Rattus norvegicus: one gene and its partners. The protein of the gene in region 6 interacts with the protein of the main gene of each other region in a biochemical or structural test. Links are inferred from orthologs where the notes say so. Each region holds a gene or a part of one and is shown on either strand. Other genes may lie near its edges. The genes, in order: Lyn, Fyn, Yes1, Hck, Fnbp4, Khdrbs1 and Itk.

What was found.
Region 1: the proteins of Khdrbs1 (region 6) and Lyn form a complex in vitro, tested with the Homo sapiens proteins (3 studies listed by BioGRID and IntAct, with this or other methods). The link is inferred for Rattus norvegicus from reciprocal best matches to the Homo sapiens genes KHDRBS1 and LYN.
Region 2: the proteins of Khdrbs1 (region 6) and Fyn form a complex in vitro, tested with the Homo sapiens proteins (4 studies listed by BioGRID and IntAct, with this or other methods). The link is inferred for Rattus norvegicus from reciprocal best matches to the Homo sapiens genes KHDRBS1 and FYN.
Region 3: of the proteins of Khdrbs1 (region 6) and Yes1, one has a biochemical effect on the other in vitro, tested with the Homo sapiens proteins (2 studies listed by BioGRID, with this or other methods). The link is inferred for Rattus norvegicus from reciprocal best matches to the Homo sapiens genes KHDRBS1 and YES1.
Region 4: the proteins of Khdrbs1 (region 6) and Hck interact in a biophysical measurement, tested with the Homo sapiens proteins (2 studies listed by BioGRID and IntAct, with this or other methods). The link is inferred for Rattus norvegicus from reciprocal best matches to the Homo sapiens genes KHDRBS1 and HCK.
Region 5: the proteins of Khdrbs1 (region 6) and Fnbp4 form a complex in vitro, tested with the Homo sapiens proteins (2 studies listed by BioGRID and IntAct, with this or other methods). The link is inferred for Rattus norvegicus from reciprocal best matches to the Homo sapiens genes KHDRBS1 and FNBP4.
Region 7: the proteins of Khdrbs1 (region 6) and Itk form a complex in vitro, tested with the Homo sapiens proteins (4 studies listed by BioGRID, with this or other methods). The link is inferred for Rattus norvegicus from reciprocal best matches to the Homo sapiens genes KHDRBS1 and ITK.

What each region holds. Positions count from the first base shown.
Region 1 is NC_086023.1:21,545,127-21,548,626, reverse strand, and holds part of Lyn (tyrosine-protein kinase Lyn), read right to left. Parts: exon of another isoform or gene 3,194-3,500; intron 1,661-3,193; coding exon 1,507-1,660; intron 1-1,506. UniProt on the Homo sapiens protein: Non-receptor tyrosine-protein kinase that transmits signals from cell surface receptors and plays an important role in the regulation of innate and adaptive immune responses, hematopoiesis, responses to growth factors and cytokines, integrin signaling, but also responses to DNA damage and genotoxic agents.
Region 2 is NC_086038.1:44,321,254-44,325,463, reverse strand, and holds the start of Fyn (tyrosine-protein kinase Fyn), read right to left. Parts: upstream 2,801-4,210; 5' UTR 2,724-2,800; coding exon of another isoform or gene 2,691-2,723; intron 2,512-2,690; exon of another isoform or gene 1-2,511. UniProt on the Homo sapiens protein: Non-receptor tyrosine-protein kinase that plays a role in many biological processes including regulation of cell growth and survival, cell adhesion, integrin-mediated signaling, cytoskeletal remodeling, cell motility, immune response and axon guidance.
Region 3 is NC_086027.1:120,645,607-120,649,659, reverse strand, and holds the start of Yes1 (tyrosine-protein kinase Yes), read right to left. Parts: upstream 2,801-4,053; 5' UTR 2,586-2,800; exon of another isoform or gene 2,135-2,585; intron 1-2,134. UniProt on the Homo sapiens protein: Non-receptor protein tyrosine kinase that is involved in the regulation of cell growth and survival, apoptosis, cell-cell adhesion, cytoskeleton remodeling, and differentiation.
Region 4 is NC_086021.1:162,059,333-162,062,832, reverse strand, and holds part of Hck (tyrosine-protein kinase HCK), read right to left. Parts: intron 2,117-3,500; coding exon 1,937-2,116; intron 562-1,936; coding exon 485-561; intron 1-484. UniProt on the Homo sapiens protein: Non-receptor tyrosine-protein kinase found in hematopoietic cells that transmits signals from cell surface receptors and plays an important role in the regulation of innate immune responses, including neutrophil, monocyte, macrophage and mast cell functions, phagocytosis, cell survival and proliferation, cell adhesion and migration.
Region 5 is NC_086021.1:97,187,608-97,191,651, forward strand, and holds the start of Fnbp4 (formin-binding protein 4), read left to right. Parts: upstream 1-1,244; 5' UTR 1,245-1,319; coding exon of another isoform or gene 1,320-1,400; coding exon 1,401-1,629; intron 1,630-2,523; coding exon 2,524-2,616; intron 2,617-4,044.
Region 6 is NC_086023.1:147,370,649-147,374,939, forward strand, and holds the start of Khdrbs1 (KH domain-containing, RNA-binding, signal transduction-associated protein 1), read right to left. Parts: upstream 2,801-4,291; 5' UTR 2,723-2,800; coding exon 2,341-2,722; intron 1-2,340. UniProt on the Homo sapiens protein: Recruited and tyrosine phosphorylated by several receptor systems, for example the T-cell, leptin and insulin receptors. Once phosphorylated, functions as an adapter protein in signal transduction cascades by binding to SH2 and SH3 domain-containing proteins.
Region 7 is NC_086028.1:31,267,505-31,271,004, forward strand, and holds part of Itk (tyrosine-protein kinase ITK/TSK), read right to left. Parts: intron 3,294-3,500; coding exon 3,211-3,293; intron 2,431-3,210; coding exon 2,297-2,430; intron 1,918-2,296; coding exon 1,843-1,917; intron 1-1,842. UniProt on the Homo sapiens protein: Tyrosine kinase that plays an essential role in regulation of the adaptive immune response. Regulates the development, function and differentiation of conventional T-cells and nonconventional NKT-cells.

The DNA of each region.
Region 1 (3,500 bases), about 130 Mb from region 6:
CGAAACCAAACATACAGTATCAAAACGTCACACCAAGCCTTCTCTACAACACAGTTCAGGCTTTTCTTTAGTAAGTCCATTCTAAGTTTGAGTGGCCATATTTATTATTTCATTTAAATGTACCTACTTAATTTTTAGTGCCGGAATGAGTGCTAAGTACACATTTGACTACTGAACTAGATCCACAACCAGAATTATATTTAATTTCCTTCGAGGAAAGCAAGACTTGGCGCAGTCTGTAGCTCCAGCATTGTGGAACTGCTAGGGGTTCATAGCCACTGCTTGAAAACATTATCTTTACTATGTCTTTGCAGGCATTTTCTTTTGCAGTGCCTTACTAAGACTAGTAGTCCCTATAAGAACAGAACAGACAGTTGTGTACACCTGTTGTGTGCTGGGCTCACAATCACTGACTCCTGGATTGTTTCTAGACAGCCTGGAGCAGTGGTGCATGATGGGAGGACAGAGATACAGAGTCTCGGAGCATCTCCATGTTACCACTTTCTATTTGGTATCATCCTAACATGTTCTTTATGGTCTTTGTCCTTTCTGGTATTTTTCAAAGACTCAGTGCTTGTTGGTGTCAACAAACCAGTGTAATCAATTCTCTCTCATGTACTCAAAAGCTGGATTCCCTGGCTTGGATCCTGGCTCAGACCCTTACAGAGGATCTCTAGAGTTGCAGAACCTCCGAGGCCCATCATCAGTGGTCTGCAGCATAGACTAAGTGTTACGAACATCTCTGCAGTCCAGGGAAGCACATGTGCTTTATTATTTGAGAGGGGAAAAAATCTGCCTTACAGGGTAAATAAAGAATCTTAATTTTGACAAATTTAGTGTTGACTAAGTGAAATACAAGGCTGGATGTGTGGTGCACATACTTGTAGTCCCAGCACGTGGGAGGCTGAGGCAGCAAGATTTAGAGTTTGAGGCCAGCCTGGGTTACACAGCAAGACTGTGCTACAACTCAGTGGTTGAGCTCTTGCCTTGCAAAGATGAGACCCTCGTCCATTAATCCCCACTGCCAAAAAGTAAAACACCCCCTTATCTCAAAAACCAGCAAAGAAGAAGACAGATACTACTGTTCATGAATCTTGTTACAGTATTGAGTGGCCTTATCCAAGACAGATCTTACACAGAAAGCTACCATTGAGGCACATCTTCAATATTGTACCAAATAAGCCCTTTTTTTCCCCTTCAAAATGATGACTTTTTTGTAGATGCTTTATTAAAAAGCAAACAAAAATGAAATTAGGCAGAGAAATAATGAAATATTTCTTGTTATGTCGCTTTTTGAGTTGTTTGTATATTAACTACCTGTCAGATACATAGCTAGGAGATTTCCTCATTACACAGCAATGCCTTGTCTTGAAGGTAGAAACAAGGTCGGTGGGAACCGAGAGAACACAGGACAGAATTGGGGGGTGGAAAAGTGGGAGGGCATCATCATGGGGGGCAATAGCACACTCCTGCAGCAAGATGGCCTCTGTAACCCAGCACACGTACCTTCCCTCGCTGTGTATTCATTATCTTCGATTACTCTCGCGAGGCCAAAGTCTGCAATCTTGCACATGAGAGACTCAGAGACCAGCACGTTGGCAGCTCGCAGATCGCGGTGGATGTAGTTCTTCCGCTCGATGTACGCCATGCCTTCTGCAATCTGCAAACAGAAGGGGGTCATGTTCATATTCTAGAGAGGCTGTCATGGTTGGCCATCAAGAAAAAAACTAGTTTTTCAAAATTTTAAGATAGTGCTAAAGTCACCCTTAGAATTCTTTTTAAAGTCTGTCCCTAACATCTCCAACAATGGTAACTTTTTTAAAAAAAGTTTTTATTTTATTTTTATTTATCTCTTTGTGTGTGTGTGTTCGTGTCGGTCCGTGTGTGTGTGTGTGTGTGTGTGTGTGTGTGTGTGTGTGTGTGTGTGTGTGTCTTTTGTGTCTCAGTGAAAACATTGCATGCAGGTACTCTTGGAGGCCAGAAGGGGGCATTGGATCCCCTGGAGCTGGAGTTGCAGGCAGTTGAGATAATTCAACATGAGAGAGGGGAACTGAATCTGGGCCCTCCCTAAAAGCAGTTCACGGCCTTAACTGCTCAGCTATCACCTCAGCCCCATGGTAACATTTTGTTTTTTAAATAACAATAGATTCAGCATTTTTAACAGTGTGAAAGCTTTTTTTAAGACCTGTAAAACCTGCCCATGCTGATATACAGAGGTCATGTTAGATTCTTAGGTGAGGTCCCCTAAATTTATATATTGATATCCTGACCCTCAATATGATCCTTATGTGTTGGTAGTTGTAAAGTAACTAGGTTGGGGGGCAGTGCAGACTTGGTGCCCTTATATAAGAGGCCACAGAGAGCTTCCTAATCATTTCCACCTTGGGTGGCCATGGCTATTAAGAGGCTGTAAGGAGAATGGGCCTGTACCAGATACTGAATGTGCTGGTGCTTCTTTCTGGATGTCCCTAGAACTCTAAGAAATAAATGCCTGTTGTTGGAAACATCCAGTCCATGGTATTTTGTGGTAGAAACCAGAACTAAGACAACAGAAGAGAAGAAAGTGATTTGCTAATACAAGACACCAGCAACAGGACGTGAGACACACGCTTGTTAGTAAGACCCTTTCTGTCAGGATCTTGCTAAGGAAGAGGTGGGGCCAGCTCTCCAGAGCCTCTGAGCATAGTCCCTCAGGACGAACAGAATATACTCTGGCAACAAAGCAAAAATATGAGGCAGAATGAAGGATTCATATAGACAACAGCCCAGAGAGGAGAAGGTACTACTTAGTGCTGGTAGGAAATGTGGCAGAGCTCAAAAAATCAGTTAAAGGATTGTGCCACCAAATTACACAGTCAAGGATAAGGAAGGAAGAAAGTGTGTGTGTGTGTGTGTGTGTGTGTGTGTGTGTGTGTGTGTGTGTGTACACGTGCGCATACGCTCATGCTTGTGTGTATTTATGTGTGCATGTATGTGTGCTTGCGTGTGTTTATGGAGTGCATGTTTGTGGTGTGTGTGTATTTCTGTGTACTTGTCTGTGTATTTGTGTGTATGTGTTTAAGAGAAGCTTCCTCTGGGGTTGGGGATTTAGCTCAGTGGTAGAGCGCTTGCCTAGGAAGCGCAAGGCCCTGGGTTCGGTCCCCAGCTCCGGGGGAAAAAAAAAAAAAAAAAAAAAAAAGAAAAAAAGAAGAGAAGCTTCCTCAATTAGGATGACTTCTCAATAGAGTGAATTGTCCCCCAGAGGCTGTAAATTGCATCTGGGAAGGCTCCTCCATCACCAGCAGCAGCAGCCTCCTTACCTCACACTGTGAAGACTGCACAAGCCCCTTCAACCTCTACTGCTCAGCAAAGGAGCAGCTGGTTAGCACTTCCTTTCCTTCCAGGCCTCATCCTGGGTCCTCTTCCGGAGTCCTCCTAGTCCCATCCTGAACCTCTCTTCACCTGTCTTGCAGCGTTGGTCTGCACAAACACTACTCACAGCTAAGGGTTACAGCTTTACC
Region 2 (4,210 bases), on a different chromosome or scaffold from region 6:
ACACACGTATGTGGTGCTATCACAGGGGCACAGACGAATCTCTTGTGTTTTTGTACCATGATACATTCTCAGGCCTACTATAGCTACTAACATGAGTCTTCTTAAAAGACGCTGGGTACGTACGTACGTATGTATCGTTGATCTGATTCATATTTGTCGCTCATTAAATGAAGCCACCAAGTAATACCAACCAGAGTAAAACCCAATGAAAATGAGACAAGCCAGATTAGGTTCTCGACCCAGTGGCAGAAATGGACAATAAACAAAAACAGACTCTGACGATGGTGTTGGGAGACAAATTTGGAGACATGGTGGCTTGGCTGGAGCAGAGAAGCCGGTGAAGGTTTCAGAATAGAGACAACATTTGTGCTGGGCCTGGGCTTCAGAACATCAGAAGAGGTGGGGACTCCAGACCGTCAGAAAATAGAGGGCATTTGCTCACACTCATTTAACCTTATTAATAAGTGCCTCTGACTTGGTCAGTACAGTGTGAGTTTATTGTGTATTGACTTTCCTTTCTGGGTTTGGCATCCCAACAAACCAGCCTTTGTTTCCAGAGAGCATTCATTATTAACCCTTCTGCTGTATGTATGGTGTGTGTGTGTGTGTGTGTGTGTGTGTGTGTGTGTGTATGTGTGTATATGTGTGTACATGTATGTATGTGTGTATATGTGTATCTGTGTGTGTATATATATGTGTGTATATGTGTATATGTGTGTATATGTGTGTACATGTATGTATGTGTATATATGTGTATCTGTGTATGTATATGTGTGTGCATGTATGTATGTGTATGTATGTATATGTGTGTACATGTATGTATGTATGTTCCACAATGGATGTCAGCTTAATTCATCACAACTCTTTTCAGATAAAACAGCTAAAAAGTAAACTTGGGACAGTTCCGTTACTTTGAACACTTGAGGCCCCACAACATGATCCAGGAATCAGCAGACTACACCAAAGTTTCTGACACACTATGTCTGAGATTTACATGAATATCTCTACCTTAAGAGGAACATCATGGGTTCTGAATCCAGTCATCTACACCCCCGGCTCATAGTCAGCTAGCCCCAAAGCTTGAGAGTTGAAACCACTTCCTCCCAAGTCTGAGGGCATGGTACTCGTGGGGCAGGGGCAGGGGCAGGGAGACTGAGCACAAAGGGTGAAAACTACTGTAAGCTGCTTTGGTGCTGAGAGGATGTGGGCATCCAAAGTCACCCTTGAACCAGACAAGTGGTGCCTCCAGGGTCTTCCGAACGCCAGCCCAAGTGCGTTCATGCCACAGCCCCGGTCACTTAAATAAAAGAGCATAGCTGGACACCACAGCACATTTCAAAAGACTTCATTCAGCAAAGCGGCCTTGGACTTTAGAGAATCCAGTCAGGCTGCCTCACTCTTGGTGAACTGATTCTGACTCAGACACAAAATTCTTCTGATCCCCCCACCCATTGATTTATCCTGTCTCAGGTATCAGTACCTATCCCCCAAGAAGAAAGGGGAGGAAAACGAGGGATGGAAGGAGGGTTCCTTGAAAGTATAGCAACTCCTAAAACAGCTGAAATAATTCCTCCCTTAAATAGGGGAAACTGCAGTTGCCACTCAATGCCACCACCCTGGGAATACAGCAAAATAAGTGCACCTGCCACCCGGGATCGGGAGCCTTCGTTTTTTGGTGAGTGTGGCAGAAAGGACTAGAGATCAACTGCTTCATCAGAAAGAAAGGGAAGCCCCAGGGATGAGACAAGAAGCATGGTGGTGCCTTGGGGACTTTATGTGTCTCTTTTCTATGAACTGAAAGGGCTCTTTGTGTCACACACACACACACACACACACACACACACACACACAGAGAGAGAGAGAGAGAGAGAGAGAGAGAGAGAGAGAGAGAGAGAGTCTGATTTATTAGAGGAAGGAGGGGCAAAATGGGTGATTTTATTATCCCTCCTCCCAGTGAGTCCCAGCCAATGCCTCCTGGGCCCAAGCTTGGTGGCCTCTTTCTAGCCCAGTCCCTGTGGCCTCAGAGATAAGAGAGCCTAGAGGAGACCAAACAAAACCATCTACCGACCTAGGGAAGTAGGGAGGAAATCCAGCGAGTCCAGAAGGGAGGAGGAATAAGCTTGAAAGCCGAAGGGGTGGGGGACAGAGGAAGAAAAGGCAAGGCCAGACACAGGGGAAAGGGGAAGGGTGGGTGGGTGGCAGCACAGGAAGGGTGAAGGGGAGGGTGGGGGAAGTGCAAGGGAGGTTCCAGAAATAGGCAGAAGGATGCGCTGGGGAAGGCAAGGGCCGCCGAGGGAGGAGGCCGGGAGGTGGAGGAGTGGGGCAGGGGTTGGGTGGGGAGGAAAGCAGCACCGGGCATCAATTATTAAGTGATTACATCATCCCTGACATTAAAACAACACACACAGCCCGGGTCCCCGCGGGGGGCTGCGAAAGGAGGGCGGAGGCGGAGCTGGGCCAACCTCGCCCCCAAGCCAATTCTTATTTTTTTCACCCGGCGCCTGCCGGCGGCCGAGGAATGGCACCCCGGTGCCCGCGCAGCCTCCGGGCGGCACCCCGCATCAGTGTCCTGCGTCGCGGGGCGCCCTGGAGGCTGCGCGGCGGGACCGCAGCGGGGGCAGCCCGTGCGGGGGCGCTGGGCCGGGCGTCTCCGCAGCATCCCGAGGCTCCGCGCATCCCCGGTCGCTTACCTGCGTGGCGTGGCGCTCGGTTCCGGAGCACATTCACATGGTCCTCTCCCCGCCCTCCTCCGGCGAGGCCCTGGCGGCTCCGGTGGCTCCGCGGCCGGGCCCAGGAGCTCGTGGGCCTCGCGAAGCGCCGAGGGGGCGGCGCCGGTGTCCCCGGCCCGGCAGCCCAGTCCCTCCCTGGCGCGGGCGGCGGCTTTGTGTGCGCCCGGGGAGTCCTCGGAGCGCTCCGGCTAGAGGCGGCCTCGCTGCGCTCTTGATCAGCGGGCGGGTCTCGGAGGCTCGGCGCACAGCGACCCCTCCTCCTCTCCGCGGAGCCCCCTCCCCGCCGGCTGCGCTCCTGACAGATGGCGCAACTGCACCGACGCGCCGCCGCCGCGGCTTCTCGCAGCTACTCTCGCTGATGCTCGGGCTGCTCCGGATCCCGAGGGGTTCGAGAGGGGGCGGGACACGCCCCGAGACTGTCAGTTCCTTCTGCCCTATCAAAGGGTCCGCTGAGGGCTGAGCGCAGTCAGCCATTGGTGCGCGCGTCGGAGGCGGGACGGCCATGGGTGGGGCCGCCGAGTGGGTTGAGCGTTACTGTGGTGGCGGGCAGCCTGGCGTGCGCAGGGCCACAGGGTGTGCGAGAGGATGCGAGGTTGAGGAGGAGAAGGAGGAGGTGTGTGTCTGAGGATCCTGTGGAGTTGCGAGTTGGTGGGGTGGACAGGAGAGAGCGCAGGGAACGAGCTGCTTTCCTACTTTGCTAGTGGAGACTGGCACCTGCCACTCGAGCCTCACAGCCATGGGAACCTATTTCTCCAAAGAAATAGGAGTGGGAGGATAAAGTGGAAAGGTGTTAAGAAGGGCGATGGCAAATTGGAGAAGTGAGGAGCAAAGTAGAGAAGTACCAGTGCAGAAACTGGGAAAGCTCGAACCAACAAATGCGCAACGAATAATAAGAAGAAGAAATTCATAATTTGCTAGTCTCATTTTCTTGAGCACCCAAATATGTTCATGTTCACACACACACATCAGGAAACGTGAGAGGAAGTATGACTAAAATTCAAGGGGCCTGCAACAAAGAACCTCCAAACCACACAGTAGAGATGCTTGGGCGCTTTCCTAGCTCTTTAGAGTAGCCATTGCCTGTCTGGCTTCTCGATGCATTCAAACTTCTCTTGGTTTTCTTGTTTTCATTGGTGGCTGGGCTGAGCTTTTTACTCAGATTTTCCTTGATGAAATAATAACTGGGTTGGTATGCAGTCGGTCTTTATTTCCGATTCAGCTTTTCTATGGCAGGATGTAACTTCATAAAAAGAAACACTTCGCCTTCCTGATTTTCTTTATAGGTAATTCCTGTTTCCTGAAAGCTCTGTTTTAAGACACGTTCAGAATCATTTTCTTTAATGATTTTGGTAAGAAACTCACCCCTCTCCCCCCCAGCAAATCTAATCTTGTAAGAAGTAAGTTTAAGCGAAGCAGCCTTGGCTTCCTTTGACGCTCAAGGTCTATGTTATCTTTCCTGCTCAGTACTTTTCTCCCCTGAA
Region 3 (4,053 bases), on a different chromosome or scaffold from region 6:
ACCTGATAAAAGAACAACACCTATTTATTCAATAAACATGTTACTTACTATTTAGTACTTATATTTAAAATTAATAACACACAACATTTTCTCTCAAAACATTAAAATAACAATAAAAATCAAGAACTCAATAAGAAACATTTCTTAAAAAATTCTCTCATTACTGTACATTTGGAAGTGTATGGTATTTTCGAGTAAATTACACACACGAACTAGTATATGACACTTATGATGCAGGAAATCTAAACCTGTTAGCAAAGAAGAGCCCTTAAGCCAGACATCAATGACTAAAGGTTGTGACAGGAAACCAGATTATCCTAAAAATTAAATTACTAATTTAACCTAAGCACATTTTACATTACATTATATTTAGGCTTCTTAAAAGTATTTTTATGTAAAATATAAAACCCAGGTTAAGAGACAAACATACAAATGTATGACTTGATAAATTAAGACCAGCTCCTCCAAGACCCAAGGACAGAGAACTTTCCTACTGCTGTAGAAGTCTGGCCTTATCACAGCTGCTTCCTTCCCTCCCTATCTTTGTTTTTATGCAAATCACTTCCTTGTAGGTTTTTTTTTACAATAATAATTTGATCATTTAAATTTGCATTCCTAGACATCAGAGCCTAGCACTGTGCTTCAAAAAAAAAAAATTAGTACAGTTTCTTTCCTAAACAATAGTACTAAGACTAATAAATGATGCCCACATTGAAGTGCCTCACTGAATTGGAAGCTAAATACATTTTTTAAAAAATTACCCACAGTAAATGCTATTTACTGTTAGAATTATGCAAATTTGAACTTCAAATAAACAGGGATTAGTAGTATTTCCCTTGTACTGGGTCCCTGCTCTTTTAGCATATTCTTTTATTTACATATGCAATGAAATAAAATTTTATTTGCAGAGACAGTGCTTTTTTGAGAATTTCCTGAACTAAAAACAATGTCTGACTATATATTAATATTATTCTTTGGTCATAAGACAAATTTCACACCTATCCCAAGAAGACAGGTCAAGGCTGTAATTTCACTTTCAGTTGAACAGAAAGGAGTCAATTTTGTGGTTTGTGAAGTCAGCAAAACCTAGCTACAAAATTAAAGGTATGATAACATTACCATAGTTTTATGGTAAAGTACACATTTTAAGAGTTCTATCTTTTATCCTAGAAACATGGAATATAAATAGTCTTGTATTTAAGTTTCAATCAAAAGCAAACTCTCTCTCCCTCACCAAATTTAGGACCCACTGAAATGTCAACCAGCATTTACATTTTCACTGAGGTTTTGCTGGTATTCAAAAATAAGATATAGCTAAATGCTGACATAGCAAGAAGAAGAGAAAAAAATTCCTGAGGAACAACTTTCCTACAGTTGTGTTCTCTCTCATACGTGATGCATTTAAGAACTTTGGCTTTTAATTTAACATCCCCTATCCTCCCACTCAAAATGTTTCCAGTCCACAACCATTGTGCTGGTTAATAGAGGTAGCATGCATTCAGCCTTAAATGGAGTCACATATGCACACTTAGTGACATTTTCATTAGTATGTAATTTAAATTTAGATTAAATTTAAACACAGGATGTTTAAACACTTTCAATTGTCAAGATACTTTTAGTATAGTAATTTTACATAATGCACGAATATACTAAACCACAATATCCTGTGAAATCACTAATGTAAAAAACACAGCTGTGGAACACACGAGAGAGGTACTACGTTATGTTTCAACTGCAGACTTTTCCTTTATTTATTTCGATAACTGTCATTAGTCATTCCACTGCTGTTTCAATCACTTATGCAAAGAATAACCACATCAAAACTACGCTGTACCCCCATTCACTACAGCAATCCCTATGCTAGAAACGATATTCCCACTTTCTTAAAACAACTCTTTCCCAAGCCCAATAGAGCAAAAGCTGGAAGCAATTATCAGGAAGCAAAAAACGCTCAAACAAAATTTTCGTTAACAGAGGAGGACAGAGAGCCGAACCCAAGGGAAGGCGGAGTGGCTTGACACCTTAAAAGTGGCCACTGATTGTAACATGTCCCAACACCCTCAAAACCAAACAAAGGAAAACTTTATAAACACGTCGTGGTTTTCAATCAAACCAAGCACAACTCGCCGCTCACTCTCTCGCCTCCCGCGTTCCACTCCTCGCTCCGGACAGTTGCTGCGGGCGTCCGGCGACACAGACCTCCAGCCGCTAGGACGATAAGGGGCCGCTCCCCTACCTCAGGGTCGCGAGTGACTCCACGCCCTTCAGGACTCAGGGTGCAGCGGCGGCACCACAGAGGCTGGATCACTGCACGGACTCCCGCAGGATCGGGAAGTACTGGACAAGGGCGGGGACCGAGGCACTGGGCAAGCAGGTAGTGAGCCCAGGAGACACGCCCGCCCGCCGGCCGGACCGGGGGAGGGGAGAAGTTTCTCCTCAACTTCCAGACTCCCCGCCCGGCAGGCGGACAGAGCCGGGAGCGGCGGCGCCTCGAAAAGCCGGGGAGCAGGAGGGCGGATGCCGAGGCCTAGAGCAGCCCGGCCAGGGTCAGTCGCCTACGTTGCGAGGCCACGCCGCGAGCTTACCTGGGTCCGGCCGCACTCGCACGGGTCGCCTCGGGGAGAAGGCGGCCGGCCGAGGCGGACGCCCGCGGGGCCCTCTCCCTTCTCCACCTCCTGCTTGCGGGGCGCCGGGAGGCAGCGACGGCCGCACAGCCGGCCCGGGACGCGTTACTTGAGGAGGAGGGAATTCCCGGGCGCCCGCACCCCACGGCCTCCCTCTCTCCTCCTCTCGCCGCCGGCCCCGCCCCTCCGCTCCCGACTGGGGCGGCCGCGCGCCGGGCAGGGGTTGCGGCTACCTGCGCGCGCCCGCTCACCGGAACTCGCGCCCTGCTGCTTGCTTGGAGCGCCTTCCGGCGCGGGAGCTCTGCGCGGGGTCCGCGGGCGGCTGGGAGGCCTGTCAGTGTCACGCCTGCCGGCCCAACATGGCGGCGGGGGCTGGGCGGGCTCCTGAGGGGGCGTGAGGAGAAAGCAGTCTGTGGTTCCCTGCCTGCCCGCGCGCGGACTACCTCTACGAGCGAAGCAGGGCTCCGCCTGGCTCACGGAAACACCGAAGAGTGTGGGGCTTTGTTTTGGGAGGGTGGTCGGGGTTGGGGCTCTTTGGAGAGAGGTTGACTGTTCGTTTCTCAACGTTGTGTCTCCGCACCCTTTGTCACTAATAGTAAAATCTCAGTCCAACCGCGAGAGCCACCGGGGCGGTGCTGACACCTTGGTCGCGGTCCAAAAACGTTCTCGTTTGGCCTTTCCTTAGCTGGGATCCTGTCCCTGCCCCAGAAGCTTCCTGTTGACTGTAGGTCGAACCAGCCTTGCCGGGAGTGGAACCGAAGCTGAGTTGTGTTGGCAACTCTCCCAGGAATGGTGGCTTTCACTTAGCGTGGGACAGCATTTTATTTGATCCTAGTAATAGGGAACCCGAACAGGCACTGTGACTCTGCTTGAGGGCAATGGAAACTGAGGTTAGGGCCCCCCAAAGTGAAGAAGTCACAATGAAAGGGTTTTCTCTTCCTCAGGAGGCCTTGCATCTTTTTCTACTTGCCTTGTAGAAAAAGTAAGGGTTCAGGAGGAACTGGGGTAAAGATGAAAGTCAAGGTCAAGAGACTAAATCTAGATGTATTTCTGCTAAAGGCACATCTGCCTTATCACACTCTTAATTTCCCTTTTGTATTTCCTCTTTGATGGGGTTATTCGAAGTATTAATGTGGGACTCTTGGTTTCCTTTGTGGTTTTCAGCGAAGTTCAGCATCATCTTTGGCATATTCTAAATAGCACCATCGACTCTGTCAGTATTCTGGTATTCTAGGAACTTAAATGCACACAGTTTTAAAAAGTTTCTTCAAAGAAAGGGATGGGAATCCACATGAGCACCTACGTGTGATGTAGAATGGTGATTTATTTTGCCATTGACTGAGACATTACGTTTTATATATAAACATACTCCATTTTTCTTTAAACTAGAACATTAATTACTTGAGCTGTTGCCTTTCTAAACCTTCAG
Region 4 (3,500 bases), on a different chromosome or scaffold from region 6:
TCTGCAGATTCAACCAACGGCACATCAGGAGTATTCTAAAAACAACTGCATCTACATTCAGTGTCTACAGCCTTTAAACGATTATTATCCCTTATACAACAAAATAATAACCCTTTACATAGCATTTATGTTGGGTTCCATAAGTCGCCCAGAGCTGCTTTAAGTAGTGTACAGGGGAATGGGCCTAGATGATTTGCAAATAACTATTTTCTTTTTTTCTTTCCTTTTTTTTTTCTTTCTTTTTTTCCGAGCTGAGGACCGAACCCGGGGCCTTGTGCTTTCTAGGCAAGCGCTCTACCACTGAGCTAAATCCCCAACCCGATAACTATTTTCTATAAGGGACTTTAGCGTGCATAAGTTTTTGAGTCCTTGGAGTACTGTCACTAGTCCTTGTGTCCGTGGTGAGGATGAGAATTCACACAAAAGATACAGAGCACGCACTACGATGACGTCACCTTTCCTGTCTGTTGCTGGCACAGCTCACCTGGGCTGAGAAGTCAATGAGTTTTGGCAGTGGCTGCTTGCTGCCTTCTTCACTCTTGAGAAAGTCCAGCAGGCTTCCTGCAGAGGGGAGCAAGAAGGAACATGGACTACTACTCCTTAGTGAGAAATAAGTAACTTTTTCTTCTTGCAATAGGGGTTTATCCTCTTTGCACTACGGGGATTGAACCCAGAACCGCCTAACACATGCTGGGCAGGTGCTCTACCACTGAGCTACAGCTCCAGCCAAGCAGCTTCTTCTGCCTCCTCCCCCTTCTTTGTCGTACTCATCGTTTTTTGAGACAGGGTTTCTCTGTGTTGTCCTGGCTGTCCTGGAACTCGATTTGTAGACTAGCCTGGCCGGCCTTGAACTCACAGAGATCTGCCTGCCTCTGCCTCCCAAGTGCAGGGATTGAAGGCAAGCGGGTATGACTTTCTTCCCGGGATAGTGCCTTGCTGTGTTCTTCCGGCTGGTCTCCAGTTCCTGGGCTCCAGCTACTTTTCCACTTCAGTTAGTAGAATAGTCTCGACTACCAGCATTCATCACTGCCCAGGAGTAGTGCTAGTTAAAGAAATATCTCCCTACTGCTCCTAGGATACGAGTGCTAGAGCTTGAATTTTTCTGAAATGCAGCCTTGTGAAACTGGGTGCCCAGGGCTTGGCTTTAGAAAGCTGGCTGGTTGTAGATTTGTAGACTTGAAAAGTAGAAAAGTTTTGAGTTTTCAAGTCACATTAGATGATGCTGTGTGAAATGTTTATCCAGAAATGACCAAGGAATGAAAATGACTATAAACTAGCTGTCTTAAAACAAACAAACAAACAAACAAACAAATAAACAAACTCTGGGAAGCCAGGTATGGAGACACACATCTGTAATCTTAGCACCTGAGAGACTGAGGCAGGACAGCTGTGAGATTAAGGCTAGCCTGGGCTACATAATGAGTGCCAGGACAACCTGGGCTACAGGGTGAAATCCTTTCTCAAACATTCCTGAGATATGCTGAATAATCACAGGGTAGGGCGACCCAAAGCTAAGTAGCCTGAAGTGACAACATGAGCATTGTCATGGTTCAGTGGGTTGATCATAGCAGGACCTCACTGTGAGGTGAGGTGACACAGGTGGAATGTTCAAGATGACGTGTCACCTTTATGGTCTTTCTCCATGTGGCTTCTTGTCCCTCAGTACTCGAAGCAGGACTTCTTTACAGCCCAGCGTCAAAGTTCCAAGGTACAAGTCACAAGGAAGCCATGTGCTGCATCTGTCATCCAGAGGCTCTGCAGCCCTTGCCCTTCCTCTCCACAGAGCACCCTTCACCTGATTTCACTCTGCGAGCCAGGAGGCTGGAGTGTTGGTGCTCTATAGGGACGTGCTGGATGTGCCAGAAGAGCCCCGTCAAGGTCATCATTGAGACTGAAGGAAGTCAGCTCGGACCACGGTCTGTCCTAGCCCACGCACCTTTGGCCATGAACTCGGTGACAATAAAGATGGGCTCCTGAGAGACCACGGCGTGCAGCTTCACCAGTTTATCATGCTGTAACGTCTTCATCAGGTTGGCCTCTGCCAGGAAGGCCTCCACAGACATGCTCCCTGGCTTCATTGTCTTCACCGCCACTTTGGTGTGCTTGTTGTAGGTGGCTGGGGAGAGCATGGAACACGGACGGTGGTTAGGACCCAGCAGCCCTGCCCACCTTAGGCCTTTAAGACAGAGGGAGGGCACCGCTTATGTCCACCCCATCTGTGGGCTGGAGATGGGTTCCCTGCCTAGCTGAGTGCAACGGAAACACATTACCTAAGTTCTCCAGGCTGTTTTCCTCCCCCTGCTAAGTGGAAGTGATAAGCACTCAGTCTGAAACGCTGTTTGCAAGAGTGCAAAACCCTCCTGTCTGGGCTTGGGGCTCATGCCTGTCATTCATTGGCTTGGGAAAGCCAATGAAGCAGGAGGACTGGAGGCTCTGGGCCAGCCATGACTCTAAAGACAAGGGTTGAGACTGGAGCTCAGCACATACAGGATACTGGGCTTGATCCCAGGCATTGTGACAGTGATCATGGCAGTAACCCTTAAGCCACCAGTTGGACTGTGACACTAGCCTGCACAGACTGTGTAAGCTTAACTGCCTTGAAATAAATACCGGATCCGTTATGTCCCATAGCTCTGCCTGCTGATCATGCCTACTTTTCTGTCCTTGTCATCCACCAAGGCCACCTCTGACACACATGCTCAAACTAGACACTGAACCAGGATCTCATACGAGGAAAGTGCTCTACCACTGAGCTATATCCCCAGCCCCCCCTTCACCTTTTATTTTGAAACAGGGTCTTACTAAGTTGTTCAGGTTGGCCTTGAACTTGAGTCTTGTCTCAATATAGTAACTGGGATGGTAGGTCTGGCTCACTCTTGCTTTCATTAAAAAATAAAATAAAATTAAGGGGGTAGGGTGGGGGGCATCCTCTTGGGGAACAGAAGGGAGGAGGAATGGGATGAGGAACTGTGGGAAGGCAGACTGGAAGGGGGGTAACAACTGGACTGTAAAAAATTAAATAGTGAAAAAAACAGAAAAATAAGAAAATTAATTCCCCCCCCCGTGTGTGTGTGTGTGTGTGTGTGTGTGTGTGTGTAGGTCAGAGGATAATCTTTGCCAGCAGTTCCCTCTTTTCAGTGTGGGTTCTGGGGTTTGAACTCAGATCATCAGTTTTTGCAGCAAGCCTTTTTCCCAGTGAGCCATCTCACTGGCTCACTCTGGTTGTTTTTTTTTTTTTTTTTTTTTTTCTTTTTTTTTTTTCGGAGCTGGGGACCAAACCCAGGGCCTTGCGCTTCCTAGGCAAGCGCTCTACCACTGAGCCAAATCCCCAACCCCTTTTCTTTTCTTTTCTTTCTTTTTTCTTTTTAAAATTTACCCCAACTTTGCTCCTCAGAGCTGGCTTTCCTCCTTGCACTTCCTATGGCTTCATTTGCTCAGCACCCGGCATATAGCAGGCTCTCGGTAAATGTAGTTGGGACATGGGCTTTTAAAACTAACTT
Region 5 (4,044 bases), on a different chromosome or scaffold from region 6:
GGTGCCAGAGGTCAGAACAGGGCAATAGATCCCCTGGAACACAAATTACAGTTGTTGAGTGTTACAGTTGTGAGTCTCCATGGGAGTACTGGGAATTGAAGGTCCTCAGGAAGGTCAGCCATTGCTCTCAACCACTGAGCTCTCTCTCTAACCCCAGATTTTGTTGTTTTTGTTTTGAGACAGGGTCTCACTAGGTAGTCCTAACTCTAGAAGAACTCACAGATCCACTTGCCTGGCCTATTATTCTCTCTTTAATAACCCATCCCCATACATCTTCTCCAGATTTTTGCTTGTATTATTATTTTTATTATTATTATTACTATTACTATTATTATTTATTGACAAGATCTTACTTTGTAAGCTCTGGTATTATGTATACTTGTAGTAATTCTCCTGCCTCCATCTCCACTGAAATTATAGCCATGAACCATGACAACTAGTTCTCCTAGTATTTTAGAACACTTCAGTAGCTCTCCAGGAGTGCACCACCTTTTAGACATTTATCTTTCACCTTCTGACCCGCTGTCATTAGTCTAGAAGCAATTAGAGATGGAAGCAGTGGGTCCTGGACAAAATCAGCATTACCTTGCTTGGCAACTATCTCAGGGGAGAACATTAATGTTTCAGCATGTCACCTGCCTCTAGGAATGGGGAGGTTTCTTCAACAAGCAAATAAGACTCAAAATTTAAAGAGCTCAACAACGCCTGCCTCAAGGTCTTTCCTTTAGCTAGAAGTGGAGGAAAGGGCAGAAAGTAGTGTTTGCGGAAGTAAAATAGGATGAGGTAAAGCTTCTGTATTCCATAAGAACAATTTGGCCTTTTACAAGGTCCAGTCATTTTCCCTACTAATCAGGTCATATTTTCGTTTTAAGAGTCTACTGATGTATAAACACCCAGCATCGTCGTTTAATACTATACCCAAAAGAAGCTACAATAACCAAGAGAACTTGCAGAAGGGTCAAATGTATCTTTATCTTTCTCAATAGCAAATGCAATAAGCCGCTGAAAACAGCCGAAAGATGGCGGACAAAGCCCTAAAGAAAAGACTTAGCTAACAGCGCACGGCCGATATCCAATCTAAGGAAGTCGCACAAACTGAGGGCCCTTCCGCGTCATTGGCTGGACGTCCTGTCTCTTCCTTTTGCTATTGGCTATTGATGCCTTCTCAAGTCAAAACAGCCAATCGCCTTATCCCTGAATAAAGCCCACCCACTGTGGATGGAGCAGAAACGTCGTAAAGGCACCCGGGCTCAGGCCGCATGCGCAAGTGCACCGCGCCGGTTAAAAGCGGGTCTCCTCGGGAGGCGGTGCCGCGGTTCATGAATATTGATTACGCACCGGGGCGCCGTGCGCCCGCCCCTCTAATCTGCCGTCGTTCGCTGCTCGCGCTTGGGCTCGTGATGGGGAAAAAGTCCCGGGCGGTACCCGGCCGCAGGCCTATCCTCCAGCTCTCTCCACCGGGTCCTCGGAGCAGCACCCCGGGCCGGGATCCCGACCCCGATCCGGATCCCGAGACCGATTCGACGGCTGCGGCGACTAGCCAGTCAGTGCCGGCAGCTGCGACGGCAGCGGCCGCGACGTCGCCCGCGGTGCCTGCCACCGCTGCCCCAGAGGACTCGCCTTCAGAAGGTAAGGGCGCGCGAGAGGGGCCCTGCCTTTATTTGGGACGTCCGAAACTCGAGCACGGGGCTTGCGGCCTAGGCTCCCAGGTGTCTCTTCCAACCCGGTGAAGAAAAGTAACCCAGGCGGGTGAGGTGCACCTCGGCTGCTTGCGATTTGGGGCCCGCGGGACGGCGGCCGCGGACTCTGGGAGCCGGAAGGCCGGGCCCGGGCTCATCTGAGGCGCCATTGCGGTGCAGGGGTTTCTCCCGGGAACCTGTGCAATCCACCGAGGCTTGGGACCCCAGATGTCCCCTAGATGACCCCTTCGATCTTAATAACGCAGAAGATGGAGGGCAATTTCCACGTGCGAGCCTTAAGGCGGTTGAACCTAACCTTCTCTACGTGTCACACTTGGTTTCGTTTTTGTTGAAATGGAGACACCACTCTTTAGAAGTGAACAAACCCTTGTTTTTTCTTATGCCAGACAAAGCATCGGTAACCCCAGACTTATGGGCAAGTGACAAAACCTGTGGACTTTTCTGGAACTGTGTTTGGGTGTAGAGTAGCAATTACAGGGATTAAGTGCCGGAAAAGATATACTATACCAAGTATTAAGAAATCAAGTTAATAGGAAGTGCATTATGTGTGGAAACATGCAGATGTATTTGTGCATGTTAATTGTTAAGTGCCATTGCAGGTGCCATTTTCATAGTGTTCACATTCTTACTGTCGATATCACTAAATGAATGGAAGATTCTAGGTCAACTTGGTTTTCATCCCCTTAGTTTGTATCAGTGATACACACTGGTTTTTTAAGTTGGTGGGATCCAGGCCAGAAAAGGGTCAAGTTTTGGGTTTTGTCTTGTTTTTTCCCTGGCCCACTGACCGACTGCAGTTTTCTTTTGTTCATTTCAAATACAGATGAACAGGAAGTGGTGGTGGAAGTCCCAAACGTTGTCCAGAATCCTCCCAAACCAGTCATGCCCACCAGACCCACAACCGTTAAGGCAACAGGTAGAGATTTTTGTTGTTTTAACTTTTCTTTAAAAATATCTTTTATTAAGTTAAAAGTGTGTACTTGGATTGTTGGGTGGTTAAATGTTGCTGATTTGTTATTTCTCATAAAAAGTAACTCAAGTTTTTCTAGGATTGGGGTTGCATGTCAGTGGTAACATGCAAGGCTCTAGGTTCCAGTCTCAGCTTAAAAAAATGGATTAACAAAAATTTTTCTTAAAGACTTGCTGAGTACAAACTTTAAGTAACATGAAAGTTTATTTACTTTTGGTTTATTTACATCTATACACACAAGCTTGCATGCTTCTAAGGCTGCACACTTAATACCTATTTTTTGAGAGTCTCAAGTGAACATGAACCTAAACTGTTCAGCTAGATGGGCTGTAAAGAGAGTTCTTCTCCCCCAGTCTGTCTGTCCTGACCGCTTCACCCCCAGCTCTGTGGTTACACATGAGTGTGCCTCATACTCCGCCAAAACAGGGGTTTAAGGGATCCGAATGCAAGTCCTTAGGCATTTTACAAATTGAGTCGTCTCTCTGATGGCTTTTTGGTCCTTTTGTGTTCTTTGGGAGCATCAACTATGCCTTACTTTTCGTTTGACCCTTACCGTATTTACTCATTTGATTCCCCCCCCCCCTCCAGTGACTCATGGTCCATGCTGGCCTAGAACCTTCTATATAGCTGAGGTTGGCCTTTAGCTATTGATAACTGCTGCCTTTACTGCCCAAGTATTGTGATTACAGGTGTGCTTCACTACACCCAGCTCATTTAACACACTGCCTGGTTGGTACCAGTCAAATATTTATGAAGCTGACAGTCCTCTTATATATCCCCGACCCTGTACAGTTTGCCAGTCCACTCTGCTGAAATATTTGCAGCAGTGATTATCTTGGCAAGCCTGAGTTCAAGTCATCACTCAGGACAGTTATTGAACTGAAACGTACTCATGTATATGGATCTACTATAGTCCTGAGTTGCTTGGGGCTTAAATTTTACATATATATTTTAAATTATATGTAGAGGGGGAGAGAGAATTTTCACATTGGAAAAGCAATTTTATTTTGAAGGTTAAAGTTTTTTTAAAACTTATTTTCTTTTGACATTTGCCTTCATGCCAGAGGAGGGCATCGGATCCCATTACAGATGGTTGTGAGCCACCATGTGGTTTCTGGGAGATGAACTCAGGACCTCTGGAAGAGCAGTCAGTGCTCTTAACCACTGAGCCATCTCTCCAGCCCCAATGATTTTTATTTATAGATGTGTGTCTGTCTGAGTGTGTGCTGAGTGTGGGAGCCTAAGGAGACCAAAAGATGTTAAGATACCTTGAAGCTGGAGATGAAGATGGCTGAGCTCCTCAATGTGGGTTCTGAGAACCAAACTCTGGTCCTTTGGAAGAATAGCTATCTTTCAAGCACAGATTACAGTATT
Region 6 (4,291 bases):
ACCCTGTTGAAAAAAGAATGATCACCTGCACTTGAAGTCAGAAAGGCCAAACTATGCCCTGTGTATATAGGAATTTATAAGCAGAAGAAAACGATGGTGACATTTTGTTTGGTGAGTACAGGTCAGAGGTAACTGGCTGATTTTACACACAACCTAGATCTCACACTCACCACTGCACAGATGACACTGCAGAGTTAGTTTCTCAGGACCAAGTAACTAGTTAACAGTCAGTTTCCAAAGTTAACATCTTCGACCTGATATAACTCTTTAGCAATTAACCTGACAGGTTATAAAGATTTGAGGAAATAAAAATAAGACTACCAAGTCAACCTTTCATAGTGATATTCTTCAGTCGGCAGGCACTTATCAAAGTCAATCAAACACAGGTGTTTGCTATTTGCAAGCCGGTATAAAAAAATATAAAAGATAATGGCCTGAAAATGTAGATAAGTTAGTAGAGTACTAAGCCTGATCCTAGGCACTGCACAAACTGAATGTGGTGGGGCACACCTCCCAAACCCTGGAGGAAAAGGACCACAAGTTCCAGGTCACAAAGGGCTATATATAAATGTAGATATATGTAAATACCCAGCCTCAGCTACTTGAGACCTGCCTCATTTAAAAAAAAAAGGGGGGGGGGTTAAAAATCCTTACAGTAACTAAGTTGTCAGAACAAAAGAACAAAAACATAAGAACCTGCGTGTTACAGAATGAAGGTCCTGAGCTGAAATGCAAACAATTGATGTTTCTATTTACTGACCACAAGTTTGGTTTACTGTGCTTCAAAGGTCCTCACTTATTTTTCCATTTGACTGGAAAGAAAAGCAGGTCTTTAAAGTCATTGTCCATCCACGACCTTTTTGCATTGTACAAACGGTAAAGCCCCTTCAACAACGCTGGGAGACAGAGAACAGATGAAGGAAAATGGTATTTTCCTTTTATTTCTTTTCGGATTTGTATTTTGAGTGCCTCTGTAGGACAAAAGAGAACATCAGTCCCCCAGTGCTGAAGTTACAGGTGTCTGAGAGCCACCTGATGTGGGCGCTGGGAACTGAACCCCTGTGGAAGAGCAGAAAGTGCTATTAACCGCTGATCCACCTCTCCATTAGATAATGGTATTTTCACAATGACCTGTCCACAGTACCATTCTGGCCAGAGTCTGTCAATCTCTCAGACGGTCTTTGATGAAATAACTTTATTCCTCGTGGATAGGGTCGAATATATATTTTGGAGTGGGTTGGGGTCTAAAAGCAGACGCTTTCTATTGGCTTGGACTGAGAGGTTAGACTCTCCATGGGGTGTCTTGGTCAAGTGTTACCAAGGTCCAGGACAGTTACCAGGTCAAGAGTGGGTTTCTGAATCCGCTCAACCTCTCCAGTTTTTGTCTGGTAACAAGGTTCCATCTGCCCCACAAAACTCCAACTATTCAATCAGTGAGACAGACTGTGATATCTAAAATTTAGATATCATAAAAAAATACTTACTAAAAACCATGTCTAACTACAAGTGAGGGTCCAATAGGCGGTTTGAATAAGAAAAATGTCTAAGTCGCTCAAGTCAAGAGAAGAGGGCTCACTAGTCTACAAGCAGAGAACAAAGGCTACCATTCTTAAACTATCTCTACTCAAGCAAGAACTAAAACAAAAAGACTAATTTCTCGTTCATCTCCCGCAAAAGAACCTGCCGTCCCTTACCTCCATCATTTCCCCATTTGCATAACTTCAAAAACACATTTTAAAATAAAGGAGAGAAAACCATCCGGGTCTGTAGCAATTCTTATTCGACAGGCCGAAACGGAAAACTTTGCTTGAGAAAACCTCAAGCTCCGGGATTCTCTGGTCGCCCCGACCTCTGATGAACTTAAACCCGAGTTCCCGCTAAATCCCGCAGCACCGCTCCGTAGAGGCGCCGCGCGGGACCGGCATTCCGGCAGTTTTTACCTTTACAACCCAGGTCAAGGCACTCTCCACCACCCGCGACCCCGCCTCCCCAAATTGTTTTCTCTTTGGGAAAGCTGGGAGAAGTAGGTTCATTTCTGGTAAGAGCTGGTCCTTGGCGCGCGGGGCAACTACTACCGGAGGAGAAGGGGGCGGGAGCACGGTACTATCCATCAACCTCTCCGCGCTCGGAGATCGCGAGTCCTCTTCGGGCCTCGACCGCGGTTCCGAAACCTCCCCTTATACCCTGATCCGGGGTGGGACTGAGGGTGCAGAATCTCTAAGGCTAGGTCGAGATGAGCACTCTCGATGCCTGGGCTCCGAGGGGGCGGGAGCAAGAACAAAGCGGCGGCCACCCACCGCCGGTACCGGGAGACCCCAAAGTACGCCAAGACCCGCTTACCTACGGACAGCAGCTGCATGGCGTGAGTGAAGGACGGGTCGAGCGAGTCCTTCTCAGCCATGAGTTCAGGCAGGTACTTATTCTCCGGCTCCATCTTGGCCGCGGCTGTGGCTGACGGGGGCAGTAGCGGGGTCGGCGCGGAACCCACCACAGTCGCGTCGGGACCCGGATTAGAGGGAGGCAGCAGCGGCGGCGGCTGCGTAGCGGGCGAGGCCCGAGCGCCTCCTCTGGGCCCACCTCCGCCTCCCCGGGACCGGTGAGGAAGCGGCGACGGCCGAGACGGGGTCAGACGCACCGAGGGGTGGGCACCTGACGGGTCCTTGGAGCAGCTGCGGCCCGAGGACCGGGTGAGGCGCGCGGCAGGGTCGTCCCGGCGCTGCATCAGGAATGATGTGTGGCGAGCGAGCGAGGAAGCGACGCGACGGCGCTGAGGCCCGAGCGGCGGTTGGCGGGGGTGGAAGAACGGGAGCGACAGCGACCGAAGCCGACCCGAGCGACCCAGCGAGAGAGCACCGGAAATGAGGCGGCGCGCGTGCGCAGGCGCCTACCGGCACCGCCCTTGAGTTTCTCCGCGGAGAACAAAGTCCCCAGTTGGGCCACGACGCCTGCGCCGACTGAAGACGTAGCCTCCCCACTCAGGCTCCGAGTTTATTGCGCCTGCGCAGACGCCGGCCGCCTTCGTTCGTTTCTTTTCCTTTTCCACGTGACCCGGCGCTAGCGGTACACGTGTCTCCCCTCCCCCTCCCTCGGGCGGAGTGCGCGGAGGGGGCGGGCGCCGTGGAATGTCTTTGTCTGCGCTCGGGCCCGCGGAGTGTGCGGCAGGAGACCTGTTATTCGTGGGCCACGCCTCCTTCAACGGCCGAGCCTGGGGAGGTCCCGGGGGAACGGTGCTGCTGTGTGGTTCGGGGGCCGCCTCTCCAGCAAGGAAATGAAAGGAACGCTTCTGGAGAGAGGGGAACGCGAGGATTAGAGCAAAGCGAGGCCGAAAGAGAGGGAAAGACTGCGCGAACGGGATGGGAAGATGGGGATGCTGGGAGAGGCTGACCCCGGGTGGGTGTGAGAAAGGGAAGCCAGGAATGGGAAATAGAAGACTAAATGCTATGTATTGCAGAACTGAAACTCAGAAGGGGTCAGTCAGAGACGCAAACAACGGAAAAAAAGGGCTCCCTCCATTCCCAAGTAGAGCATCCAGGAAGTCAGACACCAAGATTTCTATTAGAGCAGGTTCAAATTTGGTGAGAGAATTATTAAAAGATACATTTGGGGCCAGAACAACTGGCAATACTGTTTGTCACCTGTTTGGTTGGAGTCCCCAGCTCCCCTACCCCCAGTAAATTCCAATTTTCTCTCTCTCTCCCTCCAACCCCGCCCACTTAGAAAGCCTCAGAACAGAAAAAGGCGCCAAAAAACCCAGTCCCGAATTCTTGACTGTCCTAATCCACCTCATCTGAAGTCACCAGCTACCCAAATCTCTCCCTCTCCCTTGATGACCCCAGCCCAGCCTGTGGTAGACACATCATTTTTATTGCCTACACTCTTATTGAAAACTTACCAGCCATAGTCTGCCCCTGATTTATTCCGGTACTCTGAGGCTGGTGGTCTCGCCTGGGAGCCCATTCCCAAATAAACATGCCTTTTTTATTTTTTTAATTCGTCTTGAATTGACTTAGTTCATTGGGGGAAAAACTATCATCAACCTGAGTTCTATCCCCTGGCCCAAAATAGGAGAGAACCAATTCTCCCAAGTTTTGACCTCTACATGCACATAGTGGCCTTCACGTCTACCCCTACTAAGGGAATGAGGTGGTTATCCTTCATAGTGTTCTGAGGAGGGAGAGCCACAGAATTACCTCAAGTTTGAGACAAGTCTGGCCTACATACACAGCTCCAGGCCACCTAGGATATCGAAGGGACACCCTGTCCCCCAAAAGCAAACTAAGAAGCTTCTCAG
Region 7 (3,500 bases), on a different chromosome or scaffold from region 6:
GTAGTTATTATTTAACATCGGACATGTTTTTGAAATTGCCATGATGAGGAGGAGAGAGCAAGGAGAGAAAAAGACAATGGCGTTATGTGTGATAAAGAAGGCAAATAAGGTTAATCGTTATAGGGTTCCAACATTTTTTTAGCTGCATCTGATTGAAAAGAGTTTATTATGTTTTTTTTTTCTCTTGAGACTGACTCATCATCCATCCCAGATTGGTCTCAGACTTGTAATCCCACTCTCTCAGTCTCTAGAGTACATGGAGATTTGCAAATACCAGGTCTGTAATTTTATGCCATTATTGCAGAGGAAATTTTCTTTGCATTTTTCACATGTTCGTGGATGAATTTAGAGGCCCTCTGTGCTCACAGCACTGTGCTAGGCTTTGACAAGAATAGAGCTTGAAGATCTGTTCTTGGGTCATGGGGGACCTGTGCAGGGAACTGTTTCTGGCAGGACTTTTTTTAAAAAAAAGAATTGTTTTTATTTATGAGTATGGTGTAAGTCTGTTTGAGTGTAACGCACATGAATGCAGGTACTGTCAGAGACCAGAAGAGAGTATTGGATCTCCTGGGGTGGAGTTATAAGTGGCTGTGAGTCTGGAGTGAGTTATAAGTGAATCTGGGTGCTGGGAGATGAACTTGGCTCTTCTGGAAGAGCAGTAACTTCTGTTAACTTTTCAGCCATTTCTCTAGTCCTGGAGCGGGCTCTTGGTAAGTATTTAGTATACAAATAAAAGGAGTTAAGCCTCATTTTCCTACTGACAAAATAAGTGGGGCTGACCAGAGAGTCTCTGTGATGCCATCCAGGACAATTTAGGATTCAGCGATTAGAGTAGCCTTACTTTCATGAGGAGGATAATGATATATTCTGCTTTCCTGGTGCATGGTACAGCCACATGTCTGTCAAGCTGAGGTATAGACTCAAGAGCAGACAGCATGTGAGCATCCTCTGTATGCAACACATGCTGAGGGCTGCATATGAAGACTCTATGGCAGTGTTTCTCCAAGCATTTCCCTGCCCACCTAGGTCAAAGCTACTGGGCTGCTTGTTTATAATGTGGACTCCAAGGCCATGCTCTCGGGGAGTGTTTTGGTAAGCAGCAGGGAGTGTCCTGGGATCAGCATTGTTTGATAAGTGTTTGGAAAGACTGGCTGCACACTGAAGTCTGAGAACCACCAATGGTTACAACAATGGATGATTAGATTAGTCTCCTCTTCAAACAGCACATTTTGGTGTTGGACCAAGGGATATGAACTGAGATGCCTTTAGATTCTAGTAGAGAGTCAAGAAGCTATTTTGGAGGACAGACTTCATAGTAGGCCCCAGGGCCCTATAGGTACAGTCCTCCCCTCCCGCCTTTTTGTTCTGGTACTGGGGATTAAACTTGGGACCTGACTCGGGTTAGACCAATGTTCTGCCACTGAGTTAAAGTCCTAGATCTTCAAAACTTAACTTTATTCTACATAAACATTTCTGATGCTGACAGCTCCCAGCCCTTGTAGAAGACCCAGACCCAACAAGTTAGAGTATAACTAAAGTGCCAAAGGGTAGAATAGAACACAGTGCTAAGGGATATTTTCTGACATTTTCAACACCATTTAGTAGGGTGCTCTGTATAAAGTAGTGCCCAATGAATGCCTCAATTGAAGCCAAAGGGCACTGCTTTGGTCTTACTAAATGTGTTTGGTCTTACACAAATGCATATGATCGATCACTCTTACCATCTCTCCAAATCATCTGACATTTAAAGAACAGTTAGGCTAATAGCAAATACTCTCAGAATTTGTCCTAGACATTTAGGTATGTATGTTTTAGCTCAAATGTCCAACATCTTCTGCCTACCATATCTTAGCCCTGCTGTGACAGGGGCTTTCTGCCTCCAGGAGCAAACTGGATACCGGAGTCGAGTGACCAAACCTAGGTTGACAGAAAAACCAAAGGCTATGGTTAGGGTTTTGCCATGGCAATTGTCTAGCTTAAATCACCAGGAAAAGAACGGTACGTGAAATAGTACTTCCAAATTCCAAAAGTCCCACCACCGTTTTCACAGAGCCCTTGAGAGGATCCTTAAGCATAGGAGGGCAGGGACAAGGTGACCTCAGAGCAGATATTTCCTGTGGGAGGCATGGGGATCCTGGGCATTTGGAAGTTTTTTGTTTTGCTTGTTTCTGTTTCTGTTTCTGATTTGCATCTTGAGTTACTATTTATGGACAGTTGGGGCTGCATAAAGAACCCAGTGGGGACTCGGTCATTTCTTCCCAAGTCTCCTTGTGGGGATCGGTCCCCTAGAACTTACCTCCTCCATTGTATTGGTGATACTGGATGAGGAGAGGGATGGAGTCAAACACATACTTCTCAGCCACATAGTACCGCTTGGGGCTGTCATTTGTTTCTTTGATGTGATAATGTTTTATACAGGGGTTGTTCTCACTTGAAACAAATGAACACACACAGTTATTACCAGAACGGCGTGAGGATTTTTGACTGTGCATGTTTATGGCTGCACTATTTACAATAGCCAAAATATGGAGTCATCATAGATGTTCCTTAGCATAGAAACAGATTAAAAAAACAGTGCTTCATATATACACTGTAATTTTATTTAACTGTAAAGAAGAAATTAGGATACTCATAAGGAAATGGATGGGACAGAAGATTAGTGTGGTAAACAAAAAAATCCAGACTCAGAAAGACAAGTATTGAATGCTTTCTCTCATGGGTGGAATCTGGAGATAAGCACATACATACACAGACACACACAGACACACATACACACTTGCATACATGCACCCACACTCAGGAGTCTCTGCCACACAGGACTCTCAATATGGCAGACAGGTTTTATTTTTAGCATGTCAAGACCTGGCATTGGTCTATTTCCAGTTGTAGTTGAAACTACTTTCTTCTACTCTATATATTTATTACCTGATGTGCTCACCACATACAGAAGCAAGTATGTGATGTCTTCAGAGCTCTGCCTCCAGGCCTTGCCAAAGTCAAGGAAAGGATCTGGTATCCAGCCAGTTCTGTTTCTTATTACATCTCTCTAGTCCTGCCCTTGAACTTGGGGCTTTAACTTTACAGGAGCATTGGAAGAAGCCACACCACTGCTAGTGAGGCTCTGCATGATGTATGGGCAGATCTCGCTACATCTACACTGTCACACAAAAGCAGCTGTCATGATTCCTCTGTGCCAAGCGAGTGGCATACCTTATGATGGCCTTGGTGAAGACAGAGACTGTGTATGTCCCGGGTGTCCTGGAATCTCGGACCATGAATGCTCCTTCTTTACCCTGGATTGGGTGGAAAGAGTGAAAGGTTAGTGATCTAACACCCAGTCTCTGGAACCTAGCTCCACTCTCCTGCTTCAAGAAGGAGAAGGCACTAACTGGCACGGAACAGGCTTTCAGTAGTGGCAGCCACCAGCTGTTCATGTGAGGTCCTGTACGGATAGACAGACACAGATCCTCTCCCTTACAGTTCACCAGGCACTGGATTCT